Arabidopsis thaliana: one gene and its partners. The protein of the gene in region 4 interacts with the protein of the main gene of each other region in a pairwise test. Each region holds a gene or a part of one and is shown on either strand. Other genes may lie near its edges.

Region 1 (3,543 bases), on a different chromosome or scaffold from region 4:
ATCAGTCAAGGATGGTGAGTTCCATTTTTGCATTGTGAGCCTTCTCAAAATGGTAGGTAGTCTTACCTACCTAAAGTTGATAGTAAAGCTGAGGTCTTAAATCTTGCGTTTCATGTGAACCTAATGAAAAAGAATATTTGGGAGGAAAGAAATTGAGTTTTCCTTTCTTTCTTTTGTTGCTTTAAAGCTGATTCATGCATGTTTATGTTAGTATACAGAGCTTTAAACAAGATTAAAAACTAAGGAGTGAAATGTCCTCTATGAACAGAGATACAAGTAATGGCCGGTTTAGCTATTGGTGTTTCCAGCATCAAGTCTGGTGAACGTGCGCTCTTGCATGTTTGCTGGGAATTTAGCATATAGGAGAGATGGAAACTCTTCTTTTTCCCAATGTTCCATCTATAGCGGAATTGTTAGATGACGCTGAAGTTGTTGGATTTGATGAAACAAAGGAGGAACGTTTTTTCTTTAAGATCATTTGCTGATTCTTGTTTCCTTACCTGAACACTCCACAACCAAGCTTTTATCCCAAGCTCTTTGCTTATAGCTGACTTAGAGGTTGGATTGTACAGGGAAAAGCTCGCAGTGATATGACTATGGAGGAAAGGTTTGGTGCAGCACACAGAAGGAAAATGGATGGGGCTCTCTGTTTAAGGAGGATAAATTGGAGGAGGCCAATACGAAATGGTTAGGAATCTCTCTTTCTTTCTAACAATTACGGTCAAAGTTTTGGTTTTCAAGGCATACTCAGCGACTCTGCCCGAGGCTCTTGCATCTCCTTTCGGCTCTAAAACAAAGAGCCTTAACTGGTTGATAGTGTTATCGCAATGGTTGGTTTGCCTTTTCTGCCGGAGTTAAAGCAGATAAAGAGGTATGAGAAGCTTAACAATTCAATTATATAAGACCAAAGTGAAAGATCACAACTCTCAATTCTCCTATGTCGGAATTGAATTTCTTATCTTATTACTGATTTGTGCAGAATTTACAAGGAGGAGCTAGCTTAGCTACTACCATGAAGATTTGGGGAAGCTGAGATGTTGCCAGGAGAAGTAAGCACAAACCAATAGTTGAGAGATATAAACATAAACAGCAAAAGAGAGACTCATAAGCATCAGGTCCTTGACGTCTCCTTTCTTCTTCTCTGGCTTCAGATTCTTCCCAATCTTCCCAGCCTCTGAAATCATCCTTCTCAATGTTCTCTGGATCACTCCTTCATTCTCTTCTGGTAATTTCTGCTTCCGACAAGACATCACTCTCATAGATCTAACTCCGTGTCTGCTTGAGGCTTGTCTCTTTGTACGGTGGTTAGTGCAGAGTGGGTGGTAGTAGAAGGTGGTGGAGAGAGCCGCCATGAGAAGATGAATAGAATAATTGAAGAAAGTTTTTTGTTTTGGGAATCAAAAGTGAGCAGGAAAATATCAGAATCTTGATAGCTTAACGACAAAAATGATTTGAAAAATGGGTGGATAGATCTCATCTAACACACACACATGTAGTCACAAGGTACACGCCAATGCAAAACCAAATTGGCCGAATTTCTATTCGGTTCGTTTCAACTAATTCGGTTTGTTTCGATTTCTAAACCGAAAACCCAAATTTTTTGATCCAAACCGATTCTGAATGGCCAGGTAATCAGGTATAGTCGGAAGCATCTACAAATTCACAACAACAACACATTATGTCTGACTGGTGAGATAAATGATGACTGAGTGGATAAGCAAAGAATAAAATAATGTCATAAAGTCAACAACATGTCTCTGTGACTCTATCTCTATCCTATTATTAGATTTAATCAGATAACTTTAAAATCTGGTTGCTGAAAAAACCGTATCTCATTATTATATAAATAGAGAGAGAACAGCCCCACGTAAACAAATAGCGATAGAGCAACTGTGTCGATTGTCCCAAATAATTTTAAAAATAATTTCACGTGTCCCCATTTTGCTGACGTCATTATTCCCCTTTTTCCTTTTTATTGTCACATCAGAATTTTTTCTAACTCATTCATTTCAATCAATCTTCTTCTTCTTCTTCTTCTTCTTCCTCAGAGAAATTCTGTGTTGTTGTATACAGAGAGATGTTCTCATCTTCTACACTCGTTTATTCTCTATCTCTCTTCCTCTCTCTTTCTCTTCTCTTCTTCCTCTTCATCCTCTCACCACACATCCTTCTCTCTTCCTCTACCCTCATTTCCACCGCCGATGACCTAGACGACCTCTCTCTCTTCCACCGCGCCGTCGTCTCTTCCTCCACCAACAACAACCGTCGTCTCATCTCCCTCTCTCCAAATCCACCCCCAAAGATCGCTTTCCTCTTCCTAACAAACTCCGATCTAACCTTCTTACCTCTCTGGGAAAGCTTCTTCCAAGGTCACCAAGATCTCTACAACGTTTACATCCACGCAGATCCAACCTCCTCCGTCTCTCCTCTTCTCGATTCTTCATCAATCAACGCTAAGTTCATCCCGGCGAGAAGAACCGCACGAGCTTCTCCGACGTTAATCTCCGCCGAACGACGATTACTAGCAAACGCAATCCTCGACGATCCTAACAATCTCTATTTCGCTTTAATCTCACAACACTGTATCCCTCTCCATTCCTTCTCTTACATCCACAACCACCTCTTCTCCGATCATCATCAACAAAGCTTCATCGAGATCCTCTCCGATGAACCGTTCCTTCTGAAACGATACAACGCAAGAGGAGACGACGCGATGCTTCCTGAGATCCAGTACCAAGACTTCCGTGTTGGATCTCAGTTCTTCGTATTAGCGAAACGTCATGCTCTAATGGTGATCAAAGAGAGAAAGCTATGGAGGAAATTCAAATTACCATGCCTTGATGTTGAATCTTGTTACCCTGAAGAACATTATTTTCCGACTTTGTTGTCTCTTGAGGATCCTCAAGGATGTAGTCACTTTACACTCACACGTGTTAATTGGACCGGTAGTGTTGGTGGTCATCCTCACACGTACGATGCCTCTGAGATCTCGCCGCAGCTGATTCACTCTCTGCGGAGATCTAATTCGAGTTTAGACTATTTCTTCGCCAGAAAATTCACGCCGGAGTCATTGCAACCGCTTATGGAGATTGCAGATGCTGTGATCTTTAGGGATTGAATTCGGTGAAAGTAAATTAGGTATAACACTGAAATCTCAATGTGTAAATATGAATACAGTTTGAGAGTTTAGTTTCAATTTGCTTATCTTCTTGTTATTGTGTTCAGGTTTCAGATATCATCATAAGGAAGGTTTAGGAAGAAGCTTGTGTTGGCGCTCGAAGAAGAGTGGCTAAATAAAGATGAACTTCTGTGTGTGTGTGTGAAAATTGCTGTGTTTTTTAAGCTTTTGTGTGTCTCTAGGGAAGGTAGAGATATGGGAAAATGGATGTAAAAAAGAATGTAAATAGAGAGCCCCCAAAGGCAAAGTGAGAGCATCATCATTAAGATAAAGCCAAATCGGCTTTTCTTTTGTAATTCAGCTCCTTTCCACGGGAGAGAGAGGGAATGGCAAAAGTGTTGTTCCCTCTCTTTTGTTTCGAAAAA
Region 2 (4,569 bases), 2.9 Mb from region 4:
ACATCACCACTCTTAATTCCCACTAGTCTCAAAGATTATGTAGAAAGTTTAAAGATTTTCCCAAATAACAATAAACAACTCTGATATTTGTTTGATAAATGTAAACAACCCGAGTACTACATGACCAAAGGGCAAATGCAAATTACTTATTCTCTTAAAGTCAAGCTCAAGCTGAAGTCTTGCACTTTCTTGGCCCATCCATATTGCTACAACTCTTTTTTGGATGATAGTCATGTAGACTCTTTCACATTTCTTGGCCCATTAGATTCTTTCATGACTATCATCCATATTACAAGTTGCTGCATCAAACATGTGAAATATGTTATCATTCATGTGAAAGATGTTACTAAATCTGGTTCTTTTATTATTTTACTGGAACCCTACCATGTGGAACAGAACATGCATTTTCATGACTATCAACCAAAACCAAAACCAAAACCAAAACCCCGAACTGAACATCATCCAAGAATATCTATAACTGAAACTGTGATTCAAAAGTTGAAAATTCAGTTATAAGCATGTTATAAAAAGTGGAAAATGAAAGACTCTTATAGAAGAAAGAAGATGAAGAAATACTTGCGATGATGGTGTTAGACCAGTTCAGTTCGGCTTAGATGTTGTTCTATCAAATTCTACACATTTTACAATTATGTTGCTAATGTTTGGTATTGGAAACACTTATTGACAATGTTAGCAACTTAGCATACCTATGTCCAGTTCAGTTATGTCTCTGTGATATTCAAACAAGATTCTGAGCTTACACATGTACACAATGTATTCTTCCATTGACATAATTAATGTTACAAGATACAATGCCATTGATACATAATAGATTACACATTTACACTGTTACAAGATCAAAGCTCTAGTGGTACATATAGAGATCATCACACATGACATAGGAAACAAGAAGAAAGCATATAGAATTAAAGATTGATATATTCTTAGCTTGATGATGATCAGAGAATATGTAGGAAACTTTATGTCTTGGACTTGAAAGGAATAGCTCTGATGACTATCTGATGGTACAGAGCAGCAAGCGCAGCACCAATGAATGGACCGACCCAGAAGATCCACTGCAGACACATAAAACAAAAGAGACAACAGATAAGAGCAGAATTATCAAAAATTCTGAGTTGCTATTTAGATGCAATTCATAACTTATCATACTTAGCACAACCGTTGATGTAATTAAAGAGGAAAACTTACATGGTCATCCCAAGCATGATCCTTGTTGTAGATGATGGCAGCTCCGAGACTCCTGGCCGGGTTAATGCCAGTTCCAGTAATTGGGATGGTAGCCAAGTGCACCAAGAAGACAGCAAACCCAATTGGAAGCGGAGCCAAGATCTGCAAAATGTTCGATAACCAAAAAACACATGAGCTCTATGTGAAGAATATGAACTCAACACAACTCAAGGATACTAGAGAATTAGCAACATACAGGGACATGAGAGTCTCTGGCACTTCTCTTAGCATCAGTAGCTGAGAAAACAGTGTAAACCAGAACAAAAGTTCCAACAATCTCTGCACCAAGACCTGAACCCTTTGTGTAACCATGAGCCACCACATTAGCTCCACCGCCATTCGTCTGGTACAGCCCTGGTTGAAACCCTTTAACCACACCAGCACCACATATAGCTCCAAGGCACTGCATTACTATGTAGAACAGAGCTCTGGTTAAAGATAGCTTCCTCGCCAAGAACAAACCAAAAGTCACCGCCGGATTAATATGTCCTCCTGCTCATTACCAAACCAATTCGCCACACACAAGTCAAAATCAGATTATGATCTTCACACAGAAGAAACAAAGTGGGGCAAACTAACCAAAGTTTCAAACTTTAAGAAGAAAATTACTCAAAGTTTCAATCTTTAAATGTGAAATTACTTTTAAGTATCAAACTTTCTTCATTATATCCAAGTTTCTCACAACCAAGTAACCCTAATTCCAGATTCCTTCAACCTAAATTCGAAAACTTTAAACAAAATTCAGAGCAAGAACAGATCCTGAACCTGAGATTCCAGCAGTACAGTAAACAAGAGCAAAGATCATGCCACCAAAAGCCCAAGCGATGCCTTGGATTCCAACAGAGGCACACATATTGGGAGCTCTCTTAACACCCATGACTGTCAAAACGGTGACGTAGAGGAAAAGGAAAGTGGCTATGAACTCAGCTATCCCTGCTCTGTAGAAAGACCAAGATTTGAGCTCGCCGGGTTCGAAAAACGGCGCCGGTGGTGGTTCCTTATAGTCCTTGCTCTCCGTCTGAGCCGCCGTACCGATCGGCTGTCTCTCTGGGAACTTGTTGGCTCCAACATTGACGTCTTCTTCTTTGCCTTCCATGTTTCTCTCTCACTCTATCACCACCAACTTTAGTTTGTTGTCTCTGTAAATTTGATGACTGGTGTATGTGGAGGTTTTATAGTTTGGTTCATTTAGGCAAAAATAATTATTAATTAAATTTGCTACTAATTTCCAAAATCTTATATTTGTTATTCATGCAAATTTCTAAATTATCAGAAAATGTGTAAATAAATAAATATAGTTAATTACTAATTATAGAAAATAAATTAGTGAATTTAGACTAAATTAACTTAATCTGTCTAAAATTTTTGTGATAGATAATTTTAATTGCAATGGTTGATATAGAGTCGCACTCAAGTCTCTTTTGATTGATGATTTGCATTTTTTTTATTGTCAATCATAACTCGTGGTTTATAAACCTACATTTTCCATGTAAGACTTTTAATTCGTTTAATGTTTAATAACGGTTTTCTATCTAGTTAGTCTTTGAGCATAATACTTAAATTAAAAAATGTTGTTTTAAGATAAGAATTAGAGGTAGGTAGTTGAAATGGACTGGACAACTAGGCGCGAAAACGATGCATAGAAGAAGATGGACATAAGATTAAGCAACTACCATATAATTTGTTAAAACAGAATATATTACAGCTCAAATGATGTGGACAATTCTAACATAATGTTTCTATCAATTATGTGAATGATATTATAGAGGAAATTATTGGATGTCAAAAATATTATAGATGAAAGAAGACACTTCACATGGAAAATGTTCGCCTTATCGATCTCTACTGTTTATAGATCAATTCATGGTTTATTTAAGTTCCTTTGTGTCACTACTGTGTTTTTTTTTTATATTGGGCTTTGATCTAAAAACTTTTTTTGGGGTCAATTGATCCATAAACAAGCTTTTCCTTTTTCTTATGGAATATACTTTATACAAAAAAAAGTACATTAAAAAAAAGAGAAATCTTACTTTAGCATCTACATATGGGCAATAGAGATAGAGGGAGATACATTTGTCATTTACTGTGTATAGGTTCTTTGGTGGTTATAAATGATCTCAGATTTATGTGACACAATAAATATAGTTGTTCTGCTTCATTTTTTCTTTTGAAAAATATAGATTAAGATCCTTGATTCATCATGAGGTATTCCAATAAACTAATTATCTTGCTAACTTTATCAACAATAGCTCTCATTTTAGTTGGAGAGAGTCACAAAACAATACCTTCGAAAGAGGAGAAAGAAGAGATGAAGAAGCTACTTACCTATCTCAATAAACCTGCAGTCAAAAGTTTCCAAGTAAATTTAGCCTTTCTTTTCTTAAATTTTCATAAAACATTACAAAAATTGTTGACTATTGTAACAATATTACAACTATCATCAAGTTACATTTATTTTCAGACCACACCAATTTTTTCTTGCTTTTGATTTCGACAGACTGAACATGGTTATATATTTGACTGCATCGACATTCAAAAACAGCTAGCTTTTGATCATCCTTTGCTCAAGAACCATTCTATTAAGGTTTATCCTACAAACCACGAAAAAATATCTATAAATAAAATTCTTATTAATGTTTGGATGGATTGAAATATAAATGCAGTTGAAACCCACAACTATACCTAAATGGACCAAAGATAACAACGCTTCTCATAAAACTAGTTCTCTGCCATTTCGACAAGATGACATAAGTTGTCCAGTTGGGACAGTCATTGTCAAAAGAATTATACTTGAAGATCTTATACGAGCTCAACGTTTGCAATCCTTACGATTCAACTATCCAGGACAAGTGTCTGCAAAGGACAAGAAAATTGATTTAACTGGTCATCATGTAAGAATCATTTCTTATTACACGTAGTTGAATTGAGATCGCCTTGTAACTTGTCCACAATGCTTATAATATTTTTTGATTATCTATTCTTTTTCTCTTCGGATTTTAGTTTGCCACAATTAGTTACAAAGATGACCACTATGGAGCAAAAGGAAACATTAACGTATGGAATCCAAACGTCTCACCTGATCAATTTAGTCTTGCGGCTATGGCTGTATCAGGCAACAAAGGATTTCAAAGCATTTCTGCTGGATGGATTGTAAGTCAAGCTAGACCCTATTTTTACTTATTTTCTAAATCAAAAATTTGGAACTAACATTCCAAAATATGTTTTTAGGTGTATCCAGGGCTAAATCAGAATAATCAAAGTCACTTGTTCACTTACTGGACTGTAAGTTTTTCAAAACTTCTTAAAGTCTTGACTCTTAAA
Region 3 (3,859 bases), on a different chromosome or scaffold from region 4:
CACAAAAATGTGGTATCGTAAAACAATTATTTGATGGGCTTTAAACAGGCCCTTTCATATTTATTGATGGGCTGAAGCTCAAATAAGATCCAAATGAACAGACAAAACCAAACAGAAAAGACTTCTCAATGTCCAATGAAGAATTATGGAGTCAACTTGTTATGTCTTGCGTATGTTTCCCAAATTTTCTTGTCCTATTCTCTTATGGAGTATTAGAGTAATATGCTTATTGTATGGTTTTTCAGGTTCACAACCTTTTACCCAATTCACACAGAAACCTCTTTTCTTGACCACATTGGTAATGACACTAGCCGAGCATTCAAGATATACGTTTGTCATATATACCTTGTATTTGATTTTGTCTCTAGAGTTGACTAGTTTCTTACAATCACTGAATTTTCCTCTATTGTTTATCCACATGATGTATTTTTTTTGCGATACCATGTAGATTTTGGCTATTGCTACTTCCGGAGAGCTCTCTCTTTGTTTGTGAATTTGCTTCATCCTTCTGGTGAAGGTATACTTTTCATATCCTCTGCTTCTTCCTAATGCTGACCTAACTAAACCACTCCTTTTTCTCCACAGCTCATTTACAAGCATCCTGCCAAATGTTGGTTCTCTCAAATTCTGATTCCAAACCTGTACGCGTTCGCTGATTCAACTGTCATTTCGTTTCATAAGCCTATGACCTACCTTTAAGCGTTCGCGTTCGCCAGATGACTCGAATCTCCCGGAATATGAACCCGTGCAAATCCTCTGACCAGCGACTAGCGGAACAGTTTGGAATCACACAAACTATTTCTACTTCGACTCAAGAAAATAAGAAGGAGCAAAGCATCAAAGACTAGCATTGGTTTTTGCACACAAGCTTAACACAGAGTGTAAATGGATGGTGTGATATTTATGTACCATTTTCATAAAAACTGAGACTTTTGTGATTCATAAGACTTTTTCATCTAAAACTCTCTGATGATAGATAATCTACACAATTCAGTGAAATTGCCAGATTACAGCCATAGCCATTGATTCAAAAGCAAATTCCTTTGGCAAAAACAGATAATTATAAGAATCAACCCAGAATATTCAATTCATAATTAAGATTCCGATCCACAAATATCTCATACAAACAATTCTGAGAGAGAGAGAGAGAGAGAGAGAGAGAGAGATTCAGAATCAGACCTATTTCTTAGAGAATTTCTTCTTCGAAGCAACACTGACAACTTCTGGTTTGGGATGCTTCTCGGCTTCGCTCGGATCTAACCATTTGAGAGGATGAAGATTGTAGAAAGGCCAATTAGGTACAGTAACCAAAGTCGTGAGAACAACACCACCGGCATAGATCAGCATCATCGTCCTGAACGATTCCGTTGTGTAGCCAACAACCACCGCTACAACGCCGGAGATCACCAGTAAGATCTGCATCAGCTGCTCCACCAGTTTCTGTCCTTGCCAATCCATTTTCTTCTACACAACGAAATCAAAAACCATTAGCGATTTGAATCCAAAGTTAAACAAAAGAGAGAATCTGAGAACCCTAATTGCACAAACCTTTAGCGATCTGATCTCTCACTGAATCTGTAAACCTGATTTTCAACAATGGGGAAGAAAAGAAAGGACTCTTGACATTTATGAGCTAAGACCACAAAATCGGTTTAAAAGTAAACCGGATAAAGTGGACGGTCAGATTACTCTATAACCGGGTGAACCGGCGGTTTTTAATGTGCCTTAATTATTTCGAGATTTTGTATATGTGCAAATTCTGAAACCTTGAAACAAGGAATATTTACATTTAAGTTTCTTTGTGTGTACCTCAGAATTAGAATGTTGCTACTTGTCCAGTCCATAATTTGTTTATTGGGACAACAACTTCAGTGATTAGATAATGTTTACTATTTTATAGACTGGTGTGACCAGATTGTAGCTTTAGCAGTGACCAGTATTCATAAACCAAAATCAAAGTTTTGGAGAACCAAGATCCATGGCATGTAGCTAAAAAGATTTGCATCAATTTAGAAGTCATAATTAAGATTTCTTCTCTTTACTAATGATAATTCAAGATACAAGCAATACATCAATAGGCCTTCTATTAACAACTCTACAATTAAACCTAATCTCACCAGGTCTCCCAGATTGCAAATCACCCAACTTCACCATGCCTTCTGCAAAAGCCCTAAAGAACTCATCTTGATCCTCACTAAACATCTTCACATACTCTCTCGTCACTAGATTCGTGTACAAAGTCTGATCAGAGTTAAGAAACCCTCTCCCTGAAACCAAGTCTTTGAAATACTGATTATCAAAAACCTGAGGTGTTGCATCTAGATCTCCAGTCACATTCTCATCTCCACCCAAAGGACAAAGCTTATCAAGCTTCTTACGGTAACTCGGTTCAAGAGCTGGATCCGGTTTACCAGAACCGGATTGGTTATAAAGTCTGAACATGATTGAAAAACACCGACCTTGACCTATTGAGTGTGACCCTGATAAAGCAACCATGTCTTTTACAGAAAGATTGAATCTTTCGAAGAGATCAATCAAGAAAGTTGCGTTGGCTCTTGGACTTGGCATTATATCGTCGGAATCTTGCTGACTCGCTGTTAAACTGTCTTTCCTCCCTAGCTTCACTTCCCAATCTGGTCCTCCTGTCTGGTTTTTTCAAAGACCAAAATTACAAAACCGAGATTTCACTAAACCGGGGAAATTGAATTTTGACTTACAAGAGCAACGGCGTCACGAGCGGCCATGATAACGATATCGGCACAAGAAACAGTAGCTGGACAAGCTTTCTCTAGAGCTTCTTTAATGTCGTCAACGACTTCGAAAGATCTTAGTGAATCGATGTTGGAAAGTGATAGTTTTTCACCAAGCATGTTTGGTGTGTCGTCAAGCAACAGAGATGCGTCACATCCCTGAATTTGATGATTCAAAGAAAAATTCAGAGAGGAAAACAGAGTAAAGATCAAGAACAGAGAGAAAGATTTATAGTGTTTACATTGACGAAACAGTCGTGAAATTGGAAACGCATGACGGAAGCGACGCTTCTTGCTTCTTTGATCATTGCTTTCTTCATTTCTCTTCTTACTATGGATTCAGCTTCAGGGCATGTCTCGCTGTAGAATCTTGGTCGGAGAGTTTCTCCAGTAACAACCACCGTCAAAAGTGTTAGGTAGAGGATGAGATGGGGAAGAAGAGACATACTTTTTTCTTTTTTGGTGTTGTGTTTCAGTGATTGAAGAAGAAGTAGAGACTTTGTTTGTTGGGTTATAAAGAGGTTTTTGGTGGTTTTCGAGAATGATACTAAAGGCTTTTGTGTTTATAGATGGAATTTGTGCAAGTGTGGTCTCTGGTGGTGGTGGGCATTCCAATTTCTATAATTTATTTCTTTAATAAATAGAAATAAATAAATAAATAAATAAAGAAATAAATTTTCTAATTATAGAATTGGTGCCAATGGGGGATTAGTGTAGTAATTTGGTAAAATTATGGGTTTGTGAAATTATTGAATGATGAATCTGAAGTAATGTTAAATGTTTGTTAAGTTTGGATTATTGCAGTGTATATTAGCTGGCAAAAATAAAGAAGATAAAAGGATAATTGATCAAATTTTTTTTATAAAGGTGTGAAACTTTTGTACGTAATTGTTAAAATTGGTAAAACATCCATTATACAGTATTTAGATGAACAGTACTACTCTCTTTGTTTATTATTGTATTTTGTAGGAAATTTTTTTGATTCGAAAAGATAGTCATTTTTAAAATTTCTATGCAATATTTATTACTAGTTATTATTGATGTGTAAACTTCAAGAAGAATAATATATTTCTAATCAACTTTTAATATGTTTTTTAAGATGTGTGAAA
Region 4 (5,376 bases):
ATGTTCCAGTTCCAGCTACTGCGATTTATTAGCAAATTTGCAGATTAATGGAAGCACGTATGCATGATATCTACAACGAAGTACAATTATAGTCGTTCGCCAAGATTTTATGTAGAGAAGATATTGAAGGTATCCATCAAGCGCATGGAGAAAGAGAAGAAGATATCGACATTGATGGAGGAATTGTAATCCTTCTTTTGTCCCCAACACACATGCCTGTGAAATTTTTAAAACTTGAGAGCAATACACCATTTGAAACAAAGTGATGAAAACCTTTAGGAGGACGAAACTAAGTTACCATTTAAGCCAACATCCCATCCCTTAATGACTTTACCATGACCTGCATGTAACAACAACTTCATAAGTATCACGTACCAATCACATAACTCCATCCCTTAATTGCCATATCACATAAGTATTAAAAGGTGCTTTTCCAATGGTGGAATCGAAGATCTTCCCGTTCTCTTGAAGCTTTCCGATATAGCGGACACTAACCTGCTTGGTCATCTGCTATGTAATGACAATTCTATAAATACCCTGACTTGCGTTTTTTTGTTTCTACCTTGTTTGTCATTATCTAACTCCATCTCCACACCTGACTTATACTCTGGCTCAGCTTTTCTTTGGGAATAGGAAAACAGTCTTTGGCGTGTATTTGCTTAGTTCCATTCGCATTCTCATATTAGGTAGGTTTATCTTCATCTTCTAACTCAACGGTAATTTTTATTTATATATAAATATACCTTCACATTGAACAACTTTTTACATAACATCGTTTAGGCCCTTTTTCTTCGCCCTGTATGTATGTGATGTTTTTTTTATATCCAACTATTTTAGTATCACACACGAACATATACTGTAGTCTACAGCCTACTACATGTATATCTAACCGAATTATCTGTAAAGTAAAATTGTCTTACTTCTTTAAACCTAAACTAAATTCACAAGAACATTAAGAAGAAGAAAAAAAAAAGACTTTGAACTAAAGCAAGAGAGGCTTCTGAAGATCAAACTCTGTTCTAAGCAAACTTTCTTCATCATCTTGTTTCATTTCATCTATTTCTTCACAATCCTCTTTTCCTTTAGCCCACAGAACGAAGTAGAGTCCTCCGAACATCAACGCCATTCCCGCAAAGCTAATTTGACAGAGAAAAACAAACAAGAAAGAAGATAAATGACTTCTCTTTCTGTCTAAAAGATCATACAATGAATGCGAAAAGCTGCAAAAATGTACCTTCCTAGGTTGAAACTCTCTTCCATGGTAAAAGCAGAGACAACAACACATACCACAGTTGCAATTGGACTAAAGAGAGACACAATCACTGGTCCTTTCCTCTTAATCACCCATGCATTGAAGCTTAACCCTCCTCCACTCACCAACCCTCCCTAGAAAAAAAACAAAAACATTTTCAACACATCCAAATGTTGCCAACCATATATGATTTATGACGTACCAGTATTGCGTATCCCACAAGGTGGCCGAGACCGATTACTGATGCACTTCCCATTTCCATACTTCCCTTAAGAGCATACTGCAAAGCTACTGTGGTGATCCCACCCATCAAAGATACCATCGAGAACATTGATATAGGCGCCGGAAACTCGGCTAGTATGGATGCCTAATTAGGACGATCAAAGTGATTTCACAAGCAAAGAATCAGATTAATTAGCACAACCGGATATATGATAGCTCTAGGGCTAAGAAGGGGTATAAGGTGAAACCTGAAGGACAATACTAGAGGACAAGCCGCAAATGGCAAGGAGGAGATAGAGGCAACCTAAGATCTTGTCCTTGTCCACAACGACTTCGTCAGGGACAATAGGTATAGTCTTAACCGAGCTTAAAGTAGCGGTAGTACTGTGCATTAAGCTCATAATGAGAGCTCCCATCACACACAACACTGTCCCTCCCATCTTAACTCTACTATACATACAACTTAGCTTCACTTTCTCCATCCTTAACAATTACAATTTATTCAAATAACACATTAATGAAAGCTCTAATCTTCAAACACTAAACAGATTAGATTAACACAAAAGTAAAAGATTTACCCAGCAGCCCAAGCAATGACAAAAATGAAAGCAGGGCAGAGATTAGGCATAGCTGTAGCCATTGAAGCAGAGGTGTGTTTCATTCCTTCCAAGAATAACCCCTGGAACAGAGTCACTCTGTTTCAAACACAACTTCTCTCTTAATTAATCCCTTGTTATGAATTTTTAATTCTTCTCCTTCTCTTTAACGTATAGAAGAAGCAAGGTAAGCATCTATTAATCAAAACATGCAGAAATAAATAAAAAGAGGAGTTTTTACCCAGCAAGAGCAACCAAAACTAGTTTTATCTTCAACTTGAAACTTAGACTTCTAGGCCAAAGCTTCCTACAAATACACACCACAAAAATCCAAATTTTTATTAGAAAAAGAATGTAGAATAAAGTTCGAAACAGAGATTTTGTAAATTAAAAGAAAGAAGAAGATACCTTTCAAGGAGAAAAGCGAGAGGGGTGATGAGAAGAACTGATGCAAAGGTGCATAAGATAACGATAAGAAGTGGGTCAATTCCGAGAGACAGCAACTGACTCAGTAGCTCCGAGTTTCCGGCGTAAATCACCTGAGCTCCGGCCAATCCTCCGATTATTCCTGCTTCTATTAACGTCTCTCTCTTCATCATTTTTTCAACACAAAAAAAACACGAAGAAAATAAAAAGAATAATAACGGACAAATCAGTTGGAACCCATTTGGTAACCGAACAGAAGGATTCGATTTTGTGGGGGAACTAAAAAAGCAGAGAAACACTAATTAAGTTTTTGGTTTTGTTGTTGTTGATAAATGAAAATAGAAAAGATGCTTTGTTTGTGATCTCTCTTTTTGGTAATGTGTAATGCTTGAAGTTGAAACTTTCTCTATCTTTCACTTCTTGCTTTTAAAGACATGTGTCCATTACATTGCATTGGTTTTATTATGGAGTGTCTCGCCATTATAGCTTTTTGGGGAAGCGCAGATTTTAATTTATTTTTAGTCTAAAACGGTGATTATTTTTATAACACATAGAGTCCTCAAATTTTGGTGCAATGGATTTAATATGTATGAAATAAGACAAAACAAAAATTTGAGAGCGGTTAGCTTAATTTGTTAAGAAATAAATATTTCGGTGAGTCTGATATTTCTTAAATAGAACAAATAAATAAATAAATAAAATTCGCCAAATCGGCTAGGCAAAAATTTAAGATTATTCAAATTGTCAAGATTTTTATTTGGGAAGTTGCCACTATATTAATAAAATTTGGAATATAAAACCATAGTTTTGATTGGTAAAATAACGTAATAAAAATAGCAAAATTATAAAACAAGATTCTATTTATTTAAGACTAAAGAATAATATGTTTATTTTGTCAGTAAAGTCATTTAAAAAAAGGTGGAATGATCGATCATAAATCGCCCTCACACAAATTTATGTTAAAGATGAAATTCTGTACTACAGTGAAGTTTAAAAACATGCAGAGTATGAAAAAGAAAGATAAACCAAAAAGAAAGGAGAAGAAGGAAAAAAAGACAGATGCAATAAACTCCGTCAGATTCGGGGACCTTGGCCTTTTCTCGGGGGAGTAACAAAAATATTTATCAGTGTTCTTCTTTTGTTTGTATTCTTATTTTTGGATATATAATACGACATCTTACCATCTTCTCCTTTATTCGTTTTACGTATCTGACTATCTGTTCACTCTTTACTTCCTTCTTTTTTTCTTGCATGCAAATATGGAATGTCTTCATATTTGTATTTGTCACAGTCTCACAGATAAATCATATGTGTATGCCATGTGCCTACCTACCTATAATCATTTTTATTGGTAAAAAAAGCTTCCTATTCTAATATCCTTGTTAATGCTAATGAGATGGTTTAGTGATCTGTTTTCATACCGAAATGTTTTAGTTATTTAACCCAAAACACCAAAGGATGGTTTAGTGATTCGTTTTCACACCGAAATAGTTTTATGATCAAAATATTTTCTAGGGATCAGTTTTAACTAGAAAACTAGACTAGAGTCTATAACGAATTAGTTATTTTATAATAAATGATGTGCCTATGAAAGATTTTTAATTGGAGATGTATAATATTGGAGATGTTGTGTGGAGTGTAAAATATGGTAGGTGAAGCGTAAGATAAGAAAAAATGAGGAGTGTAAGAAAGAAAAGAGCAAAAGTGGGGATGCTTACACGTCAACAATCCTCAGTCTCTTTTCCAATGACTTGTGAAGCGTGTTATCGTCTCTCTTTTCTCCCCCTCTTTTTTTCCCAACAAATATAATATGCGATCTATCTAAATATATTAAGTTAAGAGTTTAATCTTTATCCACATACATTTTTTTCTTTTGTAACATCTGTTATCCATATCATGAAAATTTAATGCGTTTAAAAGCTTAGAAACATTTCACGCTGACCAAAAAAAAGAAAAGTTCACGCTCAAAACACTTAAGACTTAGTTTTATAGACCCTAACTAGTATCAAAACCCCTTGGTGTGAAATAAAAGGCATCTTGAATATGCAGAAACTCATATTAGCTCCTAAACCGGTTCAAAACATTCTAATGACTAATGAGTTGTGCCACGTACGAACAGACAAAAGGTTACAGTCTCAAGTTCTGAAGTCTGTGAACATACATAGTCTTCTCACGTGCCCACGCGTCTACAACTACAACCGTCGCCAACTCACGTGACTTTTTACCTCTTCTTTTTTTTTTTAATTTTTTTTTAAACCACTTTTTGCTTCTTCATACTACGAATAATCATGGTAAAGCTTTATGAAAGATTATAAAAACCATAGGACAAAGAAAACAAAATTTCGAACATCTTAACCAGTTTTGTTCTAAATTATGATATTACAACAATAATTTAAATTGTTTAAACCCTTCTCAATGAAATGTCCTTCTTCTCGTGGGATTGTCCTTCGATATCTTCTCAAAAATGCTTTTTCCTTTTACCTACGCTTATATCTGCACGATAAAAGTAGAAAATACCGAGTTAAACCAACAAATTACAATTTATGTTACTGGTAAATTTCATGTTTATGATGAAATGTTTCTTACCTGGCTTTGCTCTTGAATGAGTTCTTCGACTTCGTCCGAGGTTTTGCTGCAGCCGCGGCACCGCCTCTGCCCTGTTTCTTCTCGCCCATATCACTCTTGAACAGATCTTTCATCTCTTCACCACGAGGCTGGTTTCTTGGTTTACTCCGGCTTTGTTTCTTGTCCGGCTTTGGTCTCTCCATCTTACCGGAATCAATTGCTCTCTGTTTTGCTTTCACCGCTTTTGCTCTCATGTAACCAAGATCCTTTAGTGTCAATCCCTTCTTATCTGTCTCCTGTTTTTTCTTGTCTTTC

What was found.
Region 1: the proteins of UMAMIT8 (region 4) and AT3G52070 interact in a protein complementation assay, tested with the Arabidopsis thaliana proteins (one large-scale study listed by BioGRID).
Region 2: the proteins of UMAMIT8 (region 4) and PIP1;5 interact in a protein complementation assay, tested with the Arabidopsis thaliana proteins (one large-scale study listed by BioGRID).
Region 3: the proteins of UMAMIT8 (region 4) and AT2G22425 interact in a protein complementation assay, tested with the Arabidopsis thaliana proteins (one large-scale study listed by BioGRID).

Annotation. Positions count from the first base shown.
Region 1 is NC_003074.8:19,310,562-19,314,104, reverse strand, and holds AT3G52070 (RNA/RNP complex-1-interacting phosphatase), read right to left. Parts: upstream 1,388-3,543; 5' UTR 1,353-1,387; coding exon 1,008-1,352; 3' UTR 881-1,007; downstream 1-880. Other genes in the region: AT3G52075 (uncharacterized protein), read left to right, coding at 685-858; AT3G52060 (core-2/I-branching beta-1,6-N-acetylglucosaminyltransferase family protein), read left to right, coding at 2,078-3,118.
Region 2 is NC_003075.7:12,218,567-12,223,135, reverse strand, and holds PIP1;5 (plasma membrane intrinsic protein 1;5), read right to left. Parts: upstream 2,496-4,569; 5' UTR 2,345-2,495; coding exon 2,014-2,344; intron 1,741-2,013; coding exon 1,445-1,740; intron 1,351-1,444; coding exon 1,210-1,350; intron 1,077-1,209; coding exon 981-1,076; 3' UTR 668-980; downstream 1-667. Other genes in the region: AT4G23390 (NEP-interacting protein, putative (DUF239)), read left to right, coding at 3,449-3,607, 3,746-3,832, 3,912-4,139, 4,249-4,398, 4,477-4,530. UniProt on the Arabidopsis thaliana protein: Aquaporins facilitate the transport of water and small neutral solutes across cell membranes.
Region 3 is NC_003071.7:9,512,678-9,516,536, reverse strand, and holds AT2G22425 (Microsomal signal peptidase 12 kDa subunit (SPC12)), read right to left. Parts: upstream 1,843-3,859; 5' UTR 1,549-1,842; intron 1,465-1,548; 5' UTR 1,459-1,464; coding exon 1,180-1,458; 3' UTR 863-1,179; downstream 1-862. Other genes in the region: AT2G22420 (Peroxidase superfamily protein), read right to left, coding at 2,053-2,646, 2,718-2,909, 2,993-3,196. UniProt on the Arabidopsis thaliana protein: Component of the signal peptidase complex (SPC) which catalyzes the cleavage of N-terminal signal sequences from nascent proteins as they are translocated into the lumen of the endoplasmic reticulum. Dispensable for SPC enzymatic activity.
Region 4 is NC_003075.7:9,357,203-9,362,578, forward strand, and holds UMAMIT8 (nodulin MtN21 /EamA-like transporter family protein), read right to left. Parts: upstream 3,038-5,376; 5' UTR 2,670-3,037; coding exon 2,479-2,669; intron 2,378-2,478; coding exon 2,312-2,377; intron 2,270-2,311; exon of another isoform or gene 2,170-2,269; coding exon 2,053-2,169; intron 1,958-2,052; coding exon 1,723-1,957; intron 1,620-1,722; coding exon 1,455-1,619; coding exon of another isoform or gene 1,410-1,454; exon of another isoform or gene 1,387-1,409; coding exon 1,235-1,386; intron 1,137-1,234; coding exon 983-1,136; 3' UTR 704-982; downstream 1-703. Other genes in the region: AT4G16630 (DEA(D/H)-box RNA helicase family protein), read right to left, coding at 4,974-4,989, 5,083-5,376.